3 linked regions of the Rattus norvegicus genome follow. Each later gene encodes a partner of the first gene's protein in a complex. Links are inferred from orthologs where the notes say so. Each region holds a gene or a part of one and is shown on either strand. Other genes may lie near its edges. The genes, in order: Trex1, Anp32a and Nme1.

Region 1 (5,314 bases):
GCTTGGTAGCGAGAGCCAGGTGTATGGGTAGTGGGTACAGGGAGCCAGCCTGGGAGGGGGGCGGCGTCACACAAATTCACAAAGGGCAGCCCTGTTGCACACATGAGGACTCTGAGACCGAAAACAGATTCATACCAAACAACGGGGGCATTTCTTAAGAGCCTCTTGCCAAAAGGGGTCCTAGGGAAGAGTGAAAGGTGGTGGTGACGACGACGGCTCTTCGGCAGGTTCGGAGCGACCGTGGCCATCGGCCTGACCGTCTTCGTGGTGTTTATCGCTACCATCATTGTGTGCTTTACCTGCTCCTGCTGCTGTCTATATAAGATGTGCTGCCGCCCACGACGTAAGCTTACCCTTACCCACCGGCTCCACCGGTGTCCCTTCCTGTGCCAGCATGCAGATCCCAGAGCGGGAAAGGGTTGATGACCAGCATCCTGTTTTGACTAAGCGGGAGGGGCAGACCTGGCTTCTTCTGGCCTAGGGAGCTCTAAGGTTTTGACTAATCCGGATTCTCCTTGCAGCTGTCGTGTCCAACACCACAACTACTACCGTGGTTCACACCGCTTACCCTCAGCCTCAACCTGTGGCCCCCAGCTATCCTGGACCAACATACCAGGGCTACCATCCCATGCCCCCCCAGCCAGGAATGCCAGCAGCACCCTACCCAACGCAGTACCCTCCACCCTACCTGGCCCAGTCCACAGGGCCACCAGCCTATCATGAGACGTTGGCTGGTGAGTACCACTGTGGATTCGGTTAACCCTGCACCATCCCCCAACTCATGCCTCTGCTCCTAGGGTCCTTTCCTCCTAGCTTGCCTGCCCGCTTGCCCTGCAGCCCAATGTCCCCACAGCTAACCTGTGTCCTCTCTCCTTTCAGGAGCCAGCCAGCCTCCATACAACCCGGCCTACATGGATCCCCCAAAGGCAGTTCCCTGAGCCTGCCCCCAGCCTCTTTGGCTAACATTTGATTATGTCATGTGTGTGTGAGTGCTATGCAGAGTTCTTTACTGCTGTCTGTGGTGCGTGTGCCTTGTCTAGACATGTGGCTTCCTCTGCTGATGACCAGGTAGGCACAAATCTTACCAGTGCTGGTTGGGACCAATCTGTTTTCTTCCTCACTTGAAATTGTAATTTCTGAAATTTCAAGTAAATTAAAAACAATAGGGTAGGAGGTATTTCCCGCTTCACCCCAAGGTGACCAGCCATAGCCTGCCACACATAGGAGAGCAAGCTTTTTGTGGGTCCATGTCCTGCTTTGGGGAGTAGCCAGCTAGCTGCTGCTATGGGTTTATTCCCAGGGCTTGGCTGCATTTAGCTGGACAGAGAACAAGGGGCCTCAGTGGCAGTGGGTCAGTGACTGATGTCAGAGCACACTAGGCAGAGAGCCCCGTCCGTCTCCATCAGCTGTCTGTCTGGACGGTCCCACTGTCTTTCCTGGGACTATGTAGAGGGCCACATGTATTCACTATTCAGGCTCCAGTGGCTTCCAGGCCAGGGGCCTCTGTCTACTACACACTCTGGTTTCTCCCTACAGTGTCTTTTTACGATTAGCCAAACATATTGCCTGTTTTTTGTATCCAGATGTGTGATAATTGGTGAGGTTGAAATCCTTGGTTCCTGGAGAACAGGAAACCTGACCTCTGACAGTCCATTTCCCTTGACACCAGCTTCATAGAATACCTGACTCCTGTACTACAGTCCAGTTTGTTCCAGTAGCAGGGACACCAGGGCCAGGGGTTATCTGGACCAAGGGTGGGGGTGGAGAGCCTGGATGGTAGCTCTGGACCAGATGTGAATGCCTCCATATTCCCTGTTGGTTCCTGTTTCACTGGCTGTTTTAGTTTTGTGTTAATTGGTGTTTCTGAGCATTCAAACTCCGCACCCTCGTTTATAATAAATGAATATTTGGACCACTTCCCCTTTCTTTATAGCCTGGGCGGCTGGCCTTGGCTGTCTACCAAAAACTCTTTCTGTCTACCTCCTGAACTTGCTTCTTCCCTGTGTTAATTAGCCTAGCAGGTTCTCCTGCTAAGAGAGCAGGAGAAAGAGGTGTACCTCAGCCCTAGGGCCTGACTGTGGCCAAAGGCCCAGGCTGAGAAGCAGAAGCGACAAGCAGTCAGTGCTATGGTAGTCTTTATTAATCATATCTTCCCTCTTGACTTACTGCCCAGGTGAGGCCAGGAAGATTCCATACAGAACGGCTATTGCCAAGGTCAGGAAGGTCAGCAGGCCCAGTGGGGCCAGCAGCCCCTCCCGTGATGGGGCTTCTGGGACGTTCTCTGGAGGAGGACTCGTAGGTCGCTTGCCCCTGCTCCTGCCATTGCTGGGACTTAAGTTGGCTGTGGCCAGGGGTGAGGAGGTTGTGGCAGCACACAGCCTTGGGCTGGCCGTTCCAGTAGTAGCTGCCATGCCATACATGGGCTTGATGGTGCTAAAGGGCCGGGCGTGTTTGTCCACCCACTGCAGTAGGGCCTGTGGCTTCCACTGACAGATGCTGAGCAGGGCTAGAACGTCGCCTTCAGCAGTGTGTGAGTCTGTTGGTGCTTGCCCGTACAGGCGGGTGTAGATACTACCCAGGCTATAGCTTTTCCTCGGACCATGCTCTGAGGGGCTGCTGGCTTGCTCCAAGGTCTTCAGGGCAGCGATGCTATCCACACAGAAGGTACCGTCCAGAGGACTGATAACGCTCAGCGAAGCAAGCTCTGCCTGGAGCAGAGGAAAGTCGTAGCGGTCACCGTTGTGGGCCACAAGGCAGCAGGGCTGTGGCTGGCGCTGCAGGAAGACTTGGAGCAGGGTGGCCAGGTTGTCATTGAAGCGTTGACGCCCGTGTGCTTCCAGCCCAGCTGTGGTCAGACCTGTGATCTCACTGGCCCCAGAACTGCAGGGTTTCCCTGGAGCAATGCAGAGAGAGAGCTTGTCCACCACACGGGGTGGTTTGGGCACCGGAGGTGGCTGCCCCTCAGACATGGAGGAGTTCTCCAGGGCATGTCTGTGGACAGCCAGCAGGCACAGCTCTGTGATTTTGGGCTGAGAGTAAGGCAGGCCAGTGGCTTCCAGGTCTAAGAAGATGAGGGTCTGCATGTGACCGTGGGGCAGGGCCTGTGAGCCCATGCTGAGCCTGGGGAGGAGATGGGGTAATGAGTAGCATCAGAAAGGTCTAAAGTGGGCTGGGGTTGGGTGTGGTGTGGGCAGAAACACCAACACCCACAGCCCTTCTCTTCAGTCAGGTGCTGTCCAGGGCCACGAGAAGCTAATAGTAGGGTTGTTCTCCTAGTGAGATGGATACTACACTACTATCCTTTTGAGGGAGGCTCTTCTCCTAGTGCTGACCACCTTCAGGGTGAGGGAAACCTGTCCTCTTCTGCCTTACCCCATACCCTAGAGGCCCCCCACACTTACCGATAAGCAGGCAACAAGGCACTCCGCTGATTCTGTGGCTGGCAGCACTGGCTCAGGAAGTAAAACTGCCTGGGTCCACCCAGAGGCCTGCCTTCTGAACAGGGCCCGCCCTGCTAGCTAGCCGGCCAGGCCTGGCCCTCGTGCTAAAGCTCCTCCCTCCCTCCCCAAGCACCCCAAAGGCCTTCCTAGATCCATATCTGTGATCCTGCCGGCTAACAAAGTAGACTATCACTGCTGCTCCCACAATGACAACTCCCTAGGTTGTCTCTAGGATTCAAACAAGCCCGTGAGTCTCTGCCTTTCCTTTCCTTTCCTTTCCCCCAGGCCTTGATCCAGGCCTTCCTGTCAGCTACACAAGTTTGTTCTCCCATGGACCTGGCCCAAAGCTATGACTCAGGGTAATTCCGGAAGAGGGGCAGGGTTTTTCCTCAGGGCTGATCAGGACCATCTCAACTCCAGCAGGAGAGTCACCTAATCCAGCAGTTCCTAGTCTGCTCTGTCCCTCCCTCTCAGCCCCACAAATCAAGACTCAGGAAACAAAGCCGGTTCTCAGCAGGAAGTGCAGTTTTAATCAGTGGATGTGGCAAAGACGGTGGGGCTAGTGCCACCTTGTGGCTGGATGCTCAGGCCCTCAGCTACAGTCCATCTCGGCGTCTTCCAAATCTGTCTCTGCAGCACAGAGGTCATCCAGGGCAGCCTCTGAGCCAAAAGGAAGAGGGTTCTGAGATTAACTTGATGGTGCTGGGGCCTGGAGGCCTACCCATCCTCCCTAGAGGCACAGGAACTAACCAGTCCCTTCCATGTGTAGGCTTTGCTCCCTCAGCTACTGTGAGCAAAAGTGATACAAAAGCAATCGGGACAGATCTTTGTGGAAAAACCATGGCTCAGCTAGGCCGATTCAATAGACATAATCAAATGGGAACCTATCATACTCAGACCTAGAGCAGGAAGGCCATGTCTGCAGTGCCAGGAATGGCTCTGGTGGCAAGGGCAGACTCAGGGAAGGAAAGGAGACCAGCAAAGGAGTCTGACTTTTTCATCAGCCTCAGGCAGAGGCATATGAAGGCTGTGACAGTCTCTTGATAGCTTACCTTCACAGTCAGTCACATCAGGAAGGGCTCGAATCAGCATGCTGACCCCTGGCATCACCTGGTCGTACTGATGCAGGACCTCGACACAGTGCACAGTAAAGAGCTTGTCCTTCTGAGATAGGCTGTGCAGCAGCAGCACAGTGTCCCGCAGACAGCGGACCGTCTGCTTCTGCTGGTGGGTCCTTGGACCCCCTGCCCGCCGCACAGTCAGCCATTGCCTGTGCAACATCACAGTGAGTGCTCTGACTGCCTAGGGGAAGAGAGGGCACAGACTGAGGTCTTGCTCACCTCGACACTTCAAGGGAAGCAGGACTGCCCTTCACCAACTGAGCCGCCATGATGTTAGCCTCCGGCCACTCACCTCTACATTGCACTGACAGTCAGAAACAATGCCAGCGGGGGAAGGGCTCTGCACACTCAGCTTGGCCAAGAGCCACACTACCTGGAACAAGAAGACATGGTGTTCACCCTGTGTGGAACCCAGTTATCATAGGCTTCTGCGGGCATTCCTAAGGTGCTCTAGCTACTTCAACAACTGCTTGCCTGCACAGGTGGGGTACAAGTAGTGGTAGCCTCAGGCTCTCAGACCTGAATCTCACCAACAGCTCACTGCTTCCAGGACCAGGATCAGGCCCCAAGCCCCAGGCAGCATGATCAGGCAACTCTGCTGAGCACCACTGCAACCCAGGATGCACTTGTATTGCATCTGTGTGAGGAACCCCTAAATGTTACCCTCTGCTGTTTGACACACTGACCAAAATGAATTGTAGCTCCTATTTTCCCACAAGTGGAGAGGAGGCCCTGGGCTCCTGAAGGGTGAAG
Region 2 (5,824 bases), about 47 Mb from region 1:
TGTGTGTGTGTGTGTGTGTGTAAACTGTAGCTGTGATGGCTTACCTATTGTCCCTAACAGGAGGGGCTCCCAGTTTGGGTGTGGTGCTGGGAGGTGGTGGGGACTGGCCTGGTCCACTGTAGAAATGCAAGGCAGCTTGTTCTGCTAGCAGGAGTTGGGAGGTGCCGTGCCCCCCACCCCCACCCCCTGAGCATCCCCCATAGAGGCAACAAGAAATTCCCTTGATGGTCCATCATTACTTTCTTCATCCCAGGTCCCCTTACAACACTTGCTAATGGCATTAAGGGGAGAGGCTGTTACCACTCTAGGAAAACCACAAATGTCTGCAGCCTCTGAGGATATACGGGGATCTGCTGTTGGAAGCAGGGATTCCCTGGAAAACCAGTTAAGGAAGAAGACTGGAGCACAGGAGTCCAACACCTCATACTGTGTCCCTTGGCCCCACAGCCACTCCCTCCATTTGCTTGCTGCCCACAGCGAGGCCTCCTCTCTACCGTTTTCTTGCCTGAGGGGGAAGGGCTCCAAGGTTTTGTTCTTACAGTCTAACCAGTGAGGGCTTGACCTGGACCCGTGGCCTCTTAGATCCATCAAGAAGATGGAGCACGGCCAGGGCAGAGGCTTAGAGCTTGTGATTCAGGGAGGAAGGTGGTGTTCCGGGATTTCTTCCCTTCAGGTAGAACTGTGAATCCCTGCTAGACTGTCCTGCCTGGAGTGCTCACTGTATCCACAGGAAAGAAGGAGGCAGGGCTCTGAGACCCAGGTACCCCATAGTCTCTGCCCTGACCATTAGCCTGGAGTGACCCTGTTGTACCTCTTCCCTGCAAAGTGGCTGAATACAAGCAGTCGCTGGAAGACCAGAGGAATCTCCAGCAAGGTCCTCTTAGAGGAGAAGTGCAGCCGTGGGTGGGGACTGGGACTGGCTCGTGGGATCTTTATGCAGCGTGGCGGGGGAGGAGGGCAGTGGCAACCCTGTGAGCCACGTGGGCCTGTGGTGAATCCCATAGATTGAGGGTACAGCATAGCCAGTCAGTATTTTCAATGCTTGCCAGAGGCTGCAGGGTGGAAGCTGGTTCTGAGGCAGAGTCCTGGGGTGCAAGGGTGCGCTGGGACAAGTGCCATTGGGAGGGGTCAGTCTTCTCTTTTTAGACTCCTTTCAGCCAGTCCTGGTGCCACAGATCTCTAATCCTAACTCAGAAGCAAGTCAAGAGGGTTACAAATTGCAGACCTTTTAAAGGAAGTCCGGGTCCAACTTAGGCAATTCAGAGAAAGCCTGTGTCAAAATAAAAAGGGATAGAAAAAAAAATAAAACGTGAAATAAAGGGAGCAGATGTTTGCTCAGCATACGTGAGCACCTCTGCTCAACCCTCCGTTCCGTACCACAGGAAGGGTTCCTGGTATCACCAAGAGACTGGGTTCCCCAAGCACCTGGCTTGCCTTGGGGTACCTTGGTCTGCCTGCCAATCCCTTCGGCTGTTTGTGACTTCCCTGAGACCCACTGGCTTTCCCCTGGCCTATATCATCCTGCAGTGAGTTTGGTTTAGAACCTCCTCACCAGAGTGACTTTCACTGTCTCTTTCTGCTCTGTCAGAAACAGAGTCACACCTTCCATCCCCACCCTCCCTGCCCTTGGAGAGGGAGTGGGTAGGGACCCTCGAATTTCAGTGTTGCTGTCTTAGGCATGCAGGTTTTCTCCTCTTCCACGAGGCAGGGGCCAAGGAAAACATCCATGAACCATGTGGTCCAGTAACTGTGCCTTGTGTCTCTGTGTACTTAAGATTAAAATAACACCAAATGTTCAGGGCCACACGAGGCTTGTGGCTCTGTTCTTGGACAGCACCAAATATTTTCTTTCTGGTGGAACCGTCTCCTGGACAGTACTGTCTAGGCACAAGGACTTTGAAGAGGGTTCTCCGCTATGCTGCTGCCATGGTGGGCCAGGCCTCAGTGGGCAGGCTGAGGCCAGAGGAAGGAGGAGAGCAAGCATTAGTGTGTTCTGGGTAATCCATGAGTACTTGGGGGGCGGGAAGCAAGTGGGGTGCTGAGTGTGAGAAGTGAGTAGTCTGCCTCCAGTGGGTGTCTGGCCAGGACATTTGTAGGCAGGGATAGAGGTGTGCATATCCAATGTTCTGTCTGGGTCTTGCTAATGGTGGGATGACGGGGAGAGGTTGATCGTCCTTTGCTCTGAGGCAGAGCTGATCTGGATAAAGCAATTGATAGCCGTTGGGAGTTGGAGCACCTCTTTGACCCCTTCTCTCTGTCTGCTCACGCCACTCTTCCCTTTCTAGGTGAAAGAGCTGGTCCTGGATAACTGTCGGTCAATTGAAGGCAAAATCGAAGGCCTCACGGATGAGTTTGAAGAACTGGAATTCCTAAGTACAATCAACGTAGGCCTCACCTCCATTTCCAACTTACCAAAGTTAAACAAACTCAAGAAGGTAAACAGCCTGGGAGGCTGGGGTGGGGGAGGCTTTGTGCTCCGGGGAGCATAATTAAGGCAAGGCCAGGTGCTTGCTCCAACTTGCTGGCACGTTCTCTGGGGAGAGTGGCCCTGAGCCCGGTGTTAAACGCACTTTCCCTTCCTGCCTCACACAGCTTGAATTAAGCGAAAACAGAATCTCAGGGGACCTGGAAGTATTGGCAGAGAAATGTCCGAACCTTAAGCATCTAAATTTAAGTGGCAACAAAATAAAAGATCTCAGCACAATAGAGCCGCTGGTGAGTCCCTGGGGTCCTCCCCTTTCCTCAGGGGTGGTGGGGAGCCCAACTTTCACAGTTACATTTATTTATCACTGTTTTTCTTCGACTCTCATCCAGTGCTGTGAGCTAGTTGGGCACTGTTTCTGCTTAGTCCATGGAGAATTCAGTTGGACCAAGGTCACCCGGCCAGAATGGGCACCCAGTGTGGGGCAGGGAGTGGAGCCTGGTCTGGTGTGTGCCCTTCAGCCTGGGTTGTGCTGTCTGGGCTCACAGCCTGACTGGCTTGCCACCCTTTGAGAAGAGAGGAGCAAACCTAGATGTAAGCTGACTCTGGAGGTAGATCGGTCATCCTTTCTCCCAAGGCTTAGGCTAGTGGGTTAGGAATTAGTGCTGACACACAAGGCTCCTGGAGTGTGAGGCTATGCTTGGTGGGAGCCCAGTGCAAACCTTCATTTGCATATGGAGAGAAGAGTGTCTATTGGTGACCAGTGCCTCAGAGACAGGATGGAAGACACTTCTGGTTCTTGCTTTACTCATTTTCCAGTTAGAAGGGGAAATTTTAGTCAGAATGACAATCTCTGCCACCACGTCCTAGGCGCAGTATTCTTCTGGTTTTTAAGGAAACAGCCTGAAAATGTGACAAAAAGAATCCTTTGGAACTAGAGAAAAGTCACAAAGCTTGACTTGAGGAAGGACTGGGGACACGGCAAAGGAGGCTGGGCAAGTCCACAAAGCACCCATCAGTCTCCGAGCAGCCTGAAGTCCTGGTGTCAGGTGGTCCTAACACCAAGTTGACATTGTTGCTTCAAGCTCAGACGTCACCTGTCTGTCTGTCTTGCTAATAAAACACACTGACCACAGAAAGTTCTTTCCAGGTCTCCCACTGACCTATGCGAAGGCAGGGCTGATTTTTTTTTCTGCCTGGAAGCCCTGGCATCATCACCTTGTTCCAAAGAGAAACCTCTTCAGAGTTCTGACTCATGTGTGTTGGGAGTGTGTAGACAGCTGAGTCTAAAGTCTTCCTGAGGCAGTGTGGCAGGGTCACCACTGGGGAGCAGGCACGCACACATTCCCACTTCTCTGCACACAGATCACATACGTTTCTGTGGCTTCCCATCCTGGTTATTGATATGATGTCCTCTGTCCTCCCAGATGCTGGGCCACCTCCCTGCCTTTGGCCCCACCACTAAGAATCGCCTGGGTCTATGTATAAAAGTGGTAGAGAATCAAGACTTTCTCTGAGGGGCCTACTCTTCCTAGTTTGACCTGGTCCCCATGGCAACAGGGACTCAGTATGGGATGGGTCTTTGAATGAGATGGGAGGTCAGGATTCAGCTGCATTTCTTTGCTAGCTGGGTGCCTCCTTGCTTTCTGGGCCTCCATTTTCTTACCTATCCAACATGATAGCATTGGCCAGGACTGGTCTGACCTCAGTGGGTAAAGCACTTGCTGTGCAGACATGAGGATATGAGTTCAAATCCTCAGAGCCCAAGTCACAGCTGGGAATGGCAATGCACCCCTGAACTCCCCAGTGCTAGAATGTTGTCCTCATGTGGGTCCCAGGGGCTGGGCCAGCAGTCTAATCAAAAAGATGAGTTCCAGATTCAGTGAGAGACTCTGTCACTGCATACATACATGCATATGTACATACATACATGCATGTGTGTGTAAAACAATAAAGATAACCAGAGTTGACCTAACTTCTACTAGTGAGTGTGTGTGCACACTTGTACACACGCGCACACCATGTACACATGCAAAAGGGCATACCTGGCTTCCTTCTCTCAGAATTCTTGGGCTGTCTGTGGTGCCTTTCCTAGGGCGTTTCCCCTTCCTTCCCCTTTTCCATGGTTCGCCCTCACTGTTGACTACCTTTCTCCACTTGCAGAAGAAGTTAGAGAATCTCAAGAGCCTAGACCTGTTTAACTGTGAGGTGACCAACCTGAATGCCTACCGAGAAAACGTGTTCAAGCTCCTGCCCCAGGTCATGTACCTCGATGGCTATGACAGAGACAACAAGGAGGCCCCTGACTCTGATGTTGAGGGCTACGTGGAGGATGACGACGAGGAAGATGAGGATGGTAGGTGGCAATGGGGATCCTGGATACAGGAGCTTACTCTGGACAAGCTGGCAAACCATAGAGGGAAATGGACCTGGTGGCCTCAAGTCCCCAAAGGAAGGACAATGTGTATATCTCTATAGTGTAACCCCAGGCTTGGGAGGAGAAGAGGTCAGTTGTGGGGATGGGCTCCCCAGGACCTTTTCTCCTTCCGGGAGTCCAGGGTCTTCTGCTGGAGAGGCTGTGGCGCCCCCTGGTGGTTGCAGCGTGTAGGACCACTGGCCAGCATTGGGCCCTTCAGAAGCCAAGGGAAGTTGGGGGCTATAGTCAATGTCAGATCCCTTGGGAAGGAAGGGGAGGCTAAGGGCCCCTCCTCCCTGCCCCATCCCGTTGTCTCTGCAGGTTCCTTTCAGTGAGCACCCTGCGGCTCTACTGTGGGGCTTTCTAGCCCAAGCAAAGCTAAGCACTCAGACAGTGCCAGGCAGTGCAGACATAAGATTCTGTTGTCCTTGTTGGTCTGGGGTCTTCTATGAGATGGTCATATATGTTCATATATTGTCAGCCTTGGTGGAGATCCTTTTCCCAATAGATTGTAAGTGTCCCCCTTTTGGACACAGTGTAGTTCTGTGATATGTGGCAGGGCTCTGTGGTACAGCCCCGGGCCAGCTTCAAGCCCCTGCTCCCCTACACAGACCACTTGTGGCCTTGAACAAGGCATTTCTCTGAAGAGGGATTAATTGATTTAGCCTCTTTGCTTCCCTGGGGCCCCGGAGCTTCTTGCTCGAACCTCTGTGTCTCTGTGGCCTTACCCGTAGCATCTTCCACGTATCTGACTTTGAAAGAAGGCTTATAACATGAGTCACTTTTTGTGCATTTGGCCATGCGAACAACACCTCTGTGCATTAGAGCAGTCTGGTTCTGAGCTTTGGTGGGGGTGGGGCAGACATGGACCCTCAGTCATCTCAGTCCATGTTGCCTTCTTGCCACCCACCCCCCACAGAGGAGGAGTATGATGAATACGCCCAGCTAGTGGAAGATGAAGAGGAAGAGGATGAGGAGGAAGAAGG
Region 3 (5,760 bases), on another chromosome or scaffold:
GCGCTTCCTAGGTAAGCGCTCTACCACTGAGCTAAATCCCCAGCCCCTAATTCATTCTTTAGAAAACTATTTGTTGCTATATGTCATGTACTTTTAGGTAGTTCATAGGTAGGGACCTCTGGAAATTATACGGTCACTGTATTGGACCTTTAACCTTTGAATAAATGTCCTTGGAGATGGCCAGGTTCAGTTACTACTTGTCTAATACAGAGACTGTCTTCCTGTTTCCATCTTATATTTTGATTGAACTGCTTTCTGGGAACAAAAAGTCACCCTACCATTCCTCTCCTTTCCTTCCTTACAGTGGGTTGTTTTTAGCGATAGAGTATGGCTCTGTAGCCTAGGCTGGTCTCAACACTTGTGGACATCCGGTGTTTGCCTTCCAGTGTTGGGATTGCAGGTTCAGTGCTACGCTCAGCAGGCTGGGTTCAGCTCTAAGTTATTTTATCCTGCTGCATTAGAGATTCAGAATCGCTTTGTGGCTGTCACTGTTCCCCATGTGGAAGATGAATCTGGTTATATCTGATCACCTAACTAGCTGCGAGCTCATGTTCCGAACAGCGGGAGGGATATGGGGAAGAAACCAGCCTTCTGGTTCTTAGGGGCCTGGGGCCAGCTCTCACTGTCTGTTCTGTAACAGGCTTCAGAGGATCTTCTCAAGGAGCACTACATTGACCTGAAGGACCGCCCCTTCTTTTCTGGCCTGGTGAAGTACATGCACTCAGGACCGGTGGTTGCTATGGTGAGTGAGACTGTGCAATGTCCATGGAGTGACTCATTTGGGAGTAGAGCAGAGTGAGTGTTGCATTTCCTGCTTGGGTGCCAGGTCCTCTTTATTGTAGAGGAAACAGGCTGATGGGATATCCAGTTAGGATGAGAATTGTCTGTCTGATCCACCAAAGAAAATGTGCATTTGCCTGCCAAGCTGAGACCCAGGACTGGGAGAAATCAGGAGAGACTGGCTTGGCTGAATTCCCATGGAACACAGGGGATTTGGTTTATTTCAATATCATTTAATTGATTGATTCTTAACCTGTGGGTCAAGACCCCTTTGGGGTCGAATGACCTTTTACAGGGGTCGCCTAAGATGATTAGAAAACATAGATATTTACATTATGATTCATAATAGTAGCAAAGTTATAGTTATGAAATAGCAACAAAAATAATCTTATGGTTGGGGTCACCATATGCAAACTATATATATATATATTTTTTTTTTCTCTTTTTCGGAGCTGGGGACCGAACCCAGGGCCTTGCGCTTGCTAGGCAAGCGCTCTACCACTGAGCTAAATCCCCAACCCCATGCAAACTATATTTTAAAGGGTTGCAGCATCAGGAAGGTTGAGAACCACTGACTTAAGCAAGAATGAGCTTGGTATCTCTATGTCAAGCCCCTTCCTACATACTTTAGATACAGTTTTGAGACAAAATGGGTATCTGTTTTCATTCTTTCTTTCTAAAAATGATTTATTGAGACAGGGTCTTAATATGTAGGCTAGCCTTGTGTCCTGAAATTTAGCATGTAGTTTAGGCTGGCCTCAGGTAGTCCACACTGCCCTGGAGCTTTTGATTCTTCCACTGAGAGTGTATTGGCTCATCGCACCAGACACAACTTTGCTTTTTAAAGTACAGAAAGAAGGTTGGATTGGATGGTAAGAGGAGGATGGGGTGAGAAGTGCTCAGGGAGCACATGATGTCAGGGTTTGCTGTTATGTTACCAGGGCTGGGAAGGTATGGGAGGTACCAGACTTAGCTTTTTATTTATTTGTTCTGGTCTTTTGAGACAGGGTCAGTCTTAGTCACTGTCCTCTTACTGTGAAAAGACACCATGGCCAAGGCAGCTCTTATAAAGGAAAGCATCTCATTAGAGCTGTCTACAGTTCCAGTGGGTTAGTCCATTATCATCATGGCAGGCAAGCCCGTCTGTGTGCAGGCAGACATGGTGCTGGAGAAATTGAGAGTTCTACATCCAGATCTGAAGGCCCCAGGAAAAGGGAGCCATTGGGTCTGGCTTGGGCTTTTAAAACTCAAAGCGCACCCCAAGTGACACACTTCTTCCAACAAGGCCATATCTACTAATCCTTCTCAAGAAGTGCCACTCCCTGGTGCTTAAGCATTCAAATCTGTATAAGCCTTTAGGGCCATTTTTATTTGAACTACCACATTTCACTTTCTGGCCTCATAGACCTGTAGCCCAATCTTAATGCAAAAATGCATTCAGTTCAACTTCAAAAGTCCCCACAGTCCATCAGTATCAGCAGTGTTTCAAAGTCCTAAGTTCAGAGTCTCTTCTGAGACTCAAGGCGGCCTCCTGTCACCCGTCAAATAAAAATGAAAAGGCATGTCACATCCTTTCCACATACCATGACATAGAACATACATTGCCATTCCAAAAAGGAGGAAAGTGAGGCAATCCTGAACCAAAGCAAGACCTAAACCCAGCAGGACAAACTCCACACTCTGCATCGCCGTGTCTGATGCCAACGTGCGCTTTGATCTCCTGCTCCTTTCCGTATTGACTGGGACACACTTCTGTCTTGAGCTGGTTCTACACCCCATGTGCAGCGTTCCTTGGCAGGTATCCCACGACACTGGCATCTCTGATATCTTGGGGTTTCCAACATAGGGTCTTTCTACGAAGCCCTGGCTGTGTCTTGGAATACTCTATGTAGATCAGGCTGGCCCTACTGAGATCCACCTGCCTCTACCTCTGGGGTGGTGGGATAACCTCAGTGCCATTAAGAAGGTTGCTGGCTGCCACCTGGATGGATCTGAATTGATCTTAGGAGTAGGGCCAGGTGACCAGCATCCTTAGTACTGGCATAAGTAGGCATTCTGTTTGTCTAGTTGAATGAGGGAGTCCTAGAGCCTTTTGTTTTGAATTACCAGCTACCAGGTTTTCTACTGAGAGAGTTTTTCTTCCTTGACTGTGTCTTCTGTTGTCCTTGGAGGTCTGGGAGGGACTGAATGTTGTGAAGACAGGCCGGGTGATGCTTGGAGAGACCAACCCCGCAGACTCTAAGCCTGGGACCATACGAGGAGACTTTTGCATTCAAGTTGGCAGGTAAGAATCGATGCTTTTCACCCCTTTCCCAAATCTAAGCTAGTTGCCACAAGAATTTGGGCTTCTGAGTCTAGAGATGAACATGATATCATCTGCGGGTCAATTCATTTTATTTTAGCCTTTAAAGTTCATCTTTATTTTTCACTTTTCTGTATGTGTATGGATAGTTTGCCTGCATGATGTGTACTTTCATGACTGGTGCCCAAGGAACTGGGGTCCCCTGAACTGGAGTTACAGATAGTTGTGAGCCCCGTGTGAATCCTGGGAACTAAACCCAGGTTCTCTAGAGGACCAGCCAGTGCTCTTAAAACTGAGCCGTCTCTTCAGCCTTTAGTTTAGTTGTTTCCTCGAGACAATGTCCCAAGTAGGCTAGCTGGCCTCCAAATTGCTATGTAGCTGAGGCTATTCTTGAATTCCTGATACTCCCAACCTCCACCCCTCTCTCAAATGCTGGGAATACAGGCACTGGCCACTGCACCAGGTTTCAGTCACTTTTAAACATGAATTTTGTCTTCTTGCCTCTGAAGGTGGAAGCTGACTTGGAGGGAGGGTCCCCCATATTTGCTTGGTCCCAGTGGCTATGCCTTTCTTGAACAGAGAGCCTGGCCAGCATCGGCTATCAAAAGCCGAGTGCAAGGGGCTGTGGGCAAGTTCATTCTTCCCGTTTGGTAACACCATTCCCTCTCTCCACCCAGGAACATCATTCATGGCAGCGATTCTGTGGAGAGTGCGGAGAAGGAGATCAGTTTGTGGTTTCAGCCTGAGGAGCTGGTGGACTACAAGAGCTGTGCGCAGAACTGGATCTATGAGTGACAGCAGGGCCCCTGCTTTTTTTCTGTCTACTGACCCTTGATCTCACAGGCAGGGGAGCAGCAGCTCTAGATCTTTCTGGAACTTCTCTGAACTGGAAGAAGCCTCTGGGCGCTGTGACTCCCTGTGCAGTGTTAAGTGCCACTGGTAGATTAAAGTGTTTTGTCTGTACTTTTGTATTGCTGTATTGCTCTGCCCTGCTTACCTCCTCTTCAGGCTTCTGGGTAACCCAAGCGGACAGAATGTAAATGCTATGCAAATTACTTATATTGGCCTCGCGTGCACACAGAGATTCCTTTCATTGTCCTTGTGGTTTGAGCCAGCGCCCTGGGACGAGGAGGCGTTTCTTTGCCTATTTCCCTTCCCATCCCCTGCATCCTGTTCTCTCCTGGCATCCAGTCAGACAGCAGTTTCTGTGAGGATGTGTGAAGATGTTAAAACTGTTCTAGGAGCAGGGATTCATCAGAAATAAAGATGCCAACCGAAGCCTGTTGGCCCAGGTCTGTAATTCCAACACTCAGGAGACAGAGGCAGGAGGATTATGAGTTCCAGGCCAGCTTGGACTATATAGTGAAACCTTGTCAAACGAAACAAATCAAAATAGCTGGGTGTAGTGGAGCATGCCTTTTAATCCCAGCACTCAGGAGGCAGAGGCACTCAAGTCTGTGTGAGTTCAAGGTCAGCCTAGTCTAGATAGTGAGACCCTGGCTCAAAAAAACAGACAACAATCCCCCCACCCTCACCTCCCACCCGGGTTGGGGATATAACTTAGTTGGAAGGGAGAGTCTTTCCCAACATACATGAAGCCTTGGGTTCTGTCCCCAGCACCACATAACAGTAGGGTACTACTGCAATCCAGCACACAGGAGGTAGGATCAGAAGTTCAAAGTTGTCCTCAGCTATAAGTTTGAGGCCAGCCTGGGCTATACAAGAACATGTCCTAAAAAAACAAAAAGCTGGGTGGTGGCTCATGTCTTTAATCCCAGCACTCAGGAGGCAGGGGTAGGTAGTTCTCTGAGTTTGAGGCCAGCCTGGTCTACAGAGTGAGTTCCAGGACAACCAGGGAAAGACAGAGAAACCCTGTCTTGAAAAACAAAACAACCAAAAAAAAAAAAAAAAAAAAAAAAGGGATCATGAGAAGTTGTAGCTACCGTCAGATCAGAAAACCTGTGTCTTCTGTAGGCCTGGGACCCTCAGCTGCCATCCATGAAGGGTCCTCCCACTATAGGGTAGGCAGGCATGTGACCTAACAAAGGGCTGAATGACTTCACTGGATAGGTAAGTTCGGTGAAATTTGCAGACTCTCAGGACAATTGCCATTTGGTAACTCCAAAACAAAATGGAGAGTGTGGTGGCACATGCATGTATTCCTAGCATTTAGGAGGAAGACTCAGGATTGCAGCAGCTTGAGGTCAGACTGGTACAGTGCAGCCAGGGCTATGCAGCGAGATCCTCTCGAAAGGCAACCAACCAGCTAGCTGGGCATATGAGAGCCAGTGCTTCAGAGGGAGAATGAGGAAATGGCCCCAGAGTGAGGGCAAATGCCAGTCATTGCCAGGCTGATGCTGTTAGTTGAGGTTTCGGACAATGGTGAGGTATGATGGGCTGTTATCCACCCGAGTAGTTAGGTGACCAGTTGGGCTGGAGCCACAATGGTGATACCCTGAGTTTTGAGGTCAGTAGACCTCATCCCATCTCTGGTCATGAGTGGGAACTTAAAAAAGGAAAGAAAGAAATTCTAGGCCCAAGTGCCCACTGTAAAACCTGTAGCCTGTATGAAGGAACTGGGCACTTGGGCCTAGAATTTCTTTCTTTTTTTAAAATTCCCAAGAAACACTGTGATTTCAAGTGACTCTAACCCTGGTTTCAAGAGGCTATACTCTGCT

The links.
Region 2: Trex1 (region 1) and Anp32a share a complex: the UniProt entries of both Homo sapiens proteins name them as parts of the SET complex. The link is inferred for Rattus norvegicus from reciprocal best matches to the Homo sapiens genes TREX1 and ANP32A.
Region 3: Trex1 (region 1) and Nme1 share a complex: the UniProt entries of both Homo sapiens proteins name them as parts of the SET complex. The link is inferred for Rattus norvegicus from reciprocal best matches to the Homo sapiens genes TREX1 and NME1.

Annotation. Positions count from the first base shown.
Region 1 is NC_086026.1:118,582,964-118,588,277, forward strand, and holds Trex1 (three-prime repair exonuclease 1), read right to left. Parts: upstream 3,420-5,314; 5' UTR 3,402-3,419; intron 3,121-3,401; 5' UTR 3,114-3,120; coding exon 2,163-3,113; 3' UTR 2,119-2,162; downstream 1-2,118. Other genes in the region: Shisa5 (protein shisa-5 isoform 1 precursor), read left to right, coding at 228-343, 522-734, 880-938; Atrip (ATR-interacting protein), read right to left, coding at 4,033-4,100, 4,493-4,742, 4,854-4,934. UniProt on the Homo sapiens protein: Major cellular 3'-to-5' DNA exonuclease which digests single-stranded DNA (ssDNA) and double-stranded DNA (dsDNA) with mismatched 3' termini. Prevents cell-intrinsic initiation of autoimmunity.
Region 2 is NC_086026.1:71,751,197-71,757,020, forward strand, and holds part of Anp32a (acidic leucine-rich nuclear phosphoprotein 32 family member A), read left to right. Parts: intron 1-2,285; coding exon 2,286-2,435; intron 2,436-2,592; coding exon 2,593-2,715; intron 2,716-4,585; coding exon 4,586-4,778; intron 4,779-5,757; coding exon 5,758-5,824. UniProt on the Homo sapiens protein: Multifunctional protein that is involved in the regulation of many processes including tumor suppression, apoptosis, cell cycle progression or transcription. Promotes apoptosis by favouring the activation of caspase-9/CASP9 and allowing apoptosome formation.
Region 3 is NC_086028.1:79,402,224-79,407,983, reverse strand, and holds the end of Nme1 (nucleoside diphosphate kinase A), read left to right. Parts: intron 1-640; coding exon 641-742; intron 743-2,951; coding exon 2,952-3,064; intron 3,065-3,759; coding exon 3,760-3,877; 3' UTR 3,878-4,044; downstream 4,045-5,760. UniProt on the Homo sapiens protein: Major role in the synthesis of nucleoside triphosphates other than ATP. The ATP gamma phosphate is transferred to the NDP beta phosphate via a ping-pong mechanism, using a phosphorylated active-site intermediate.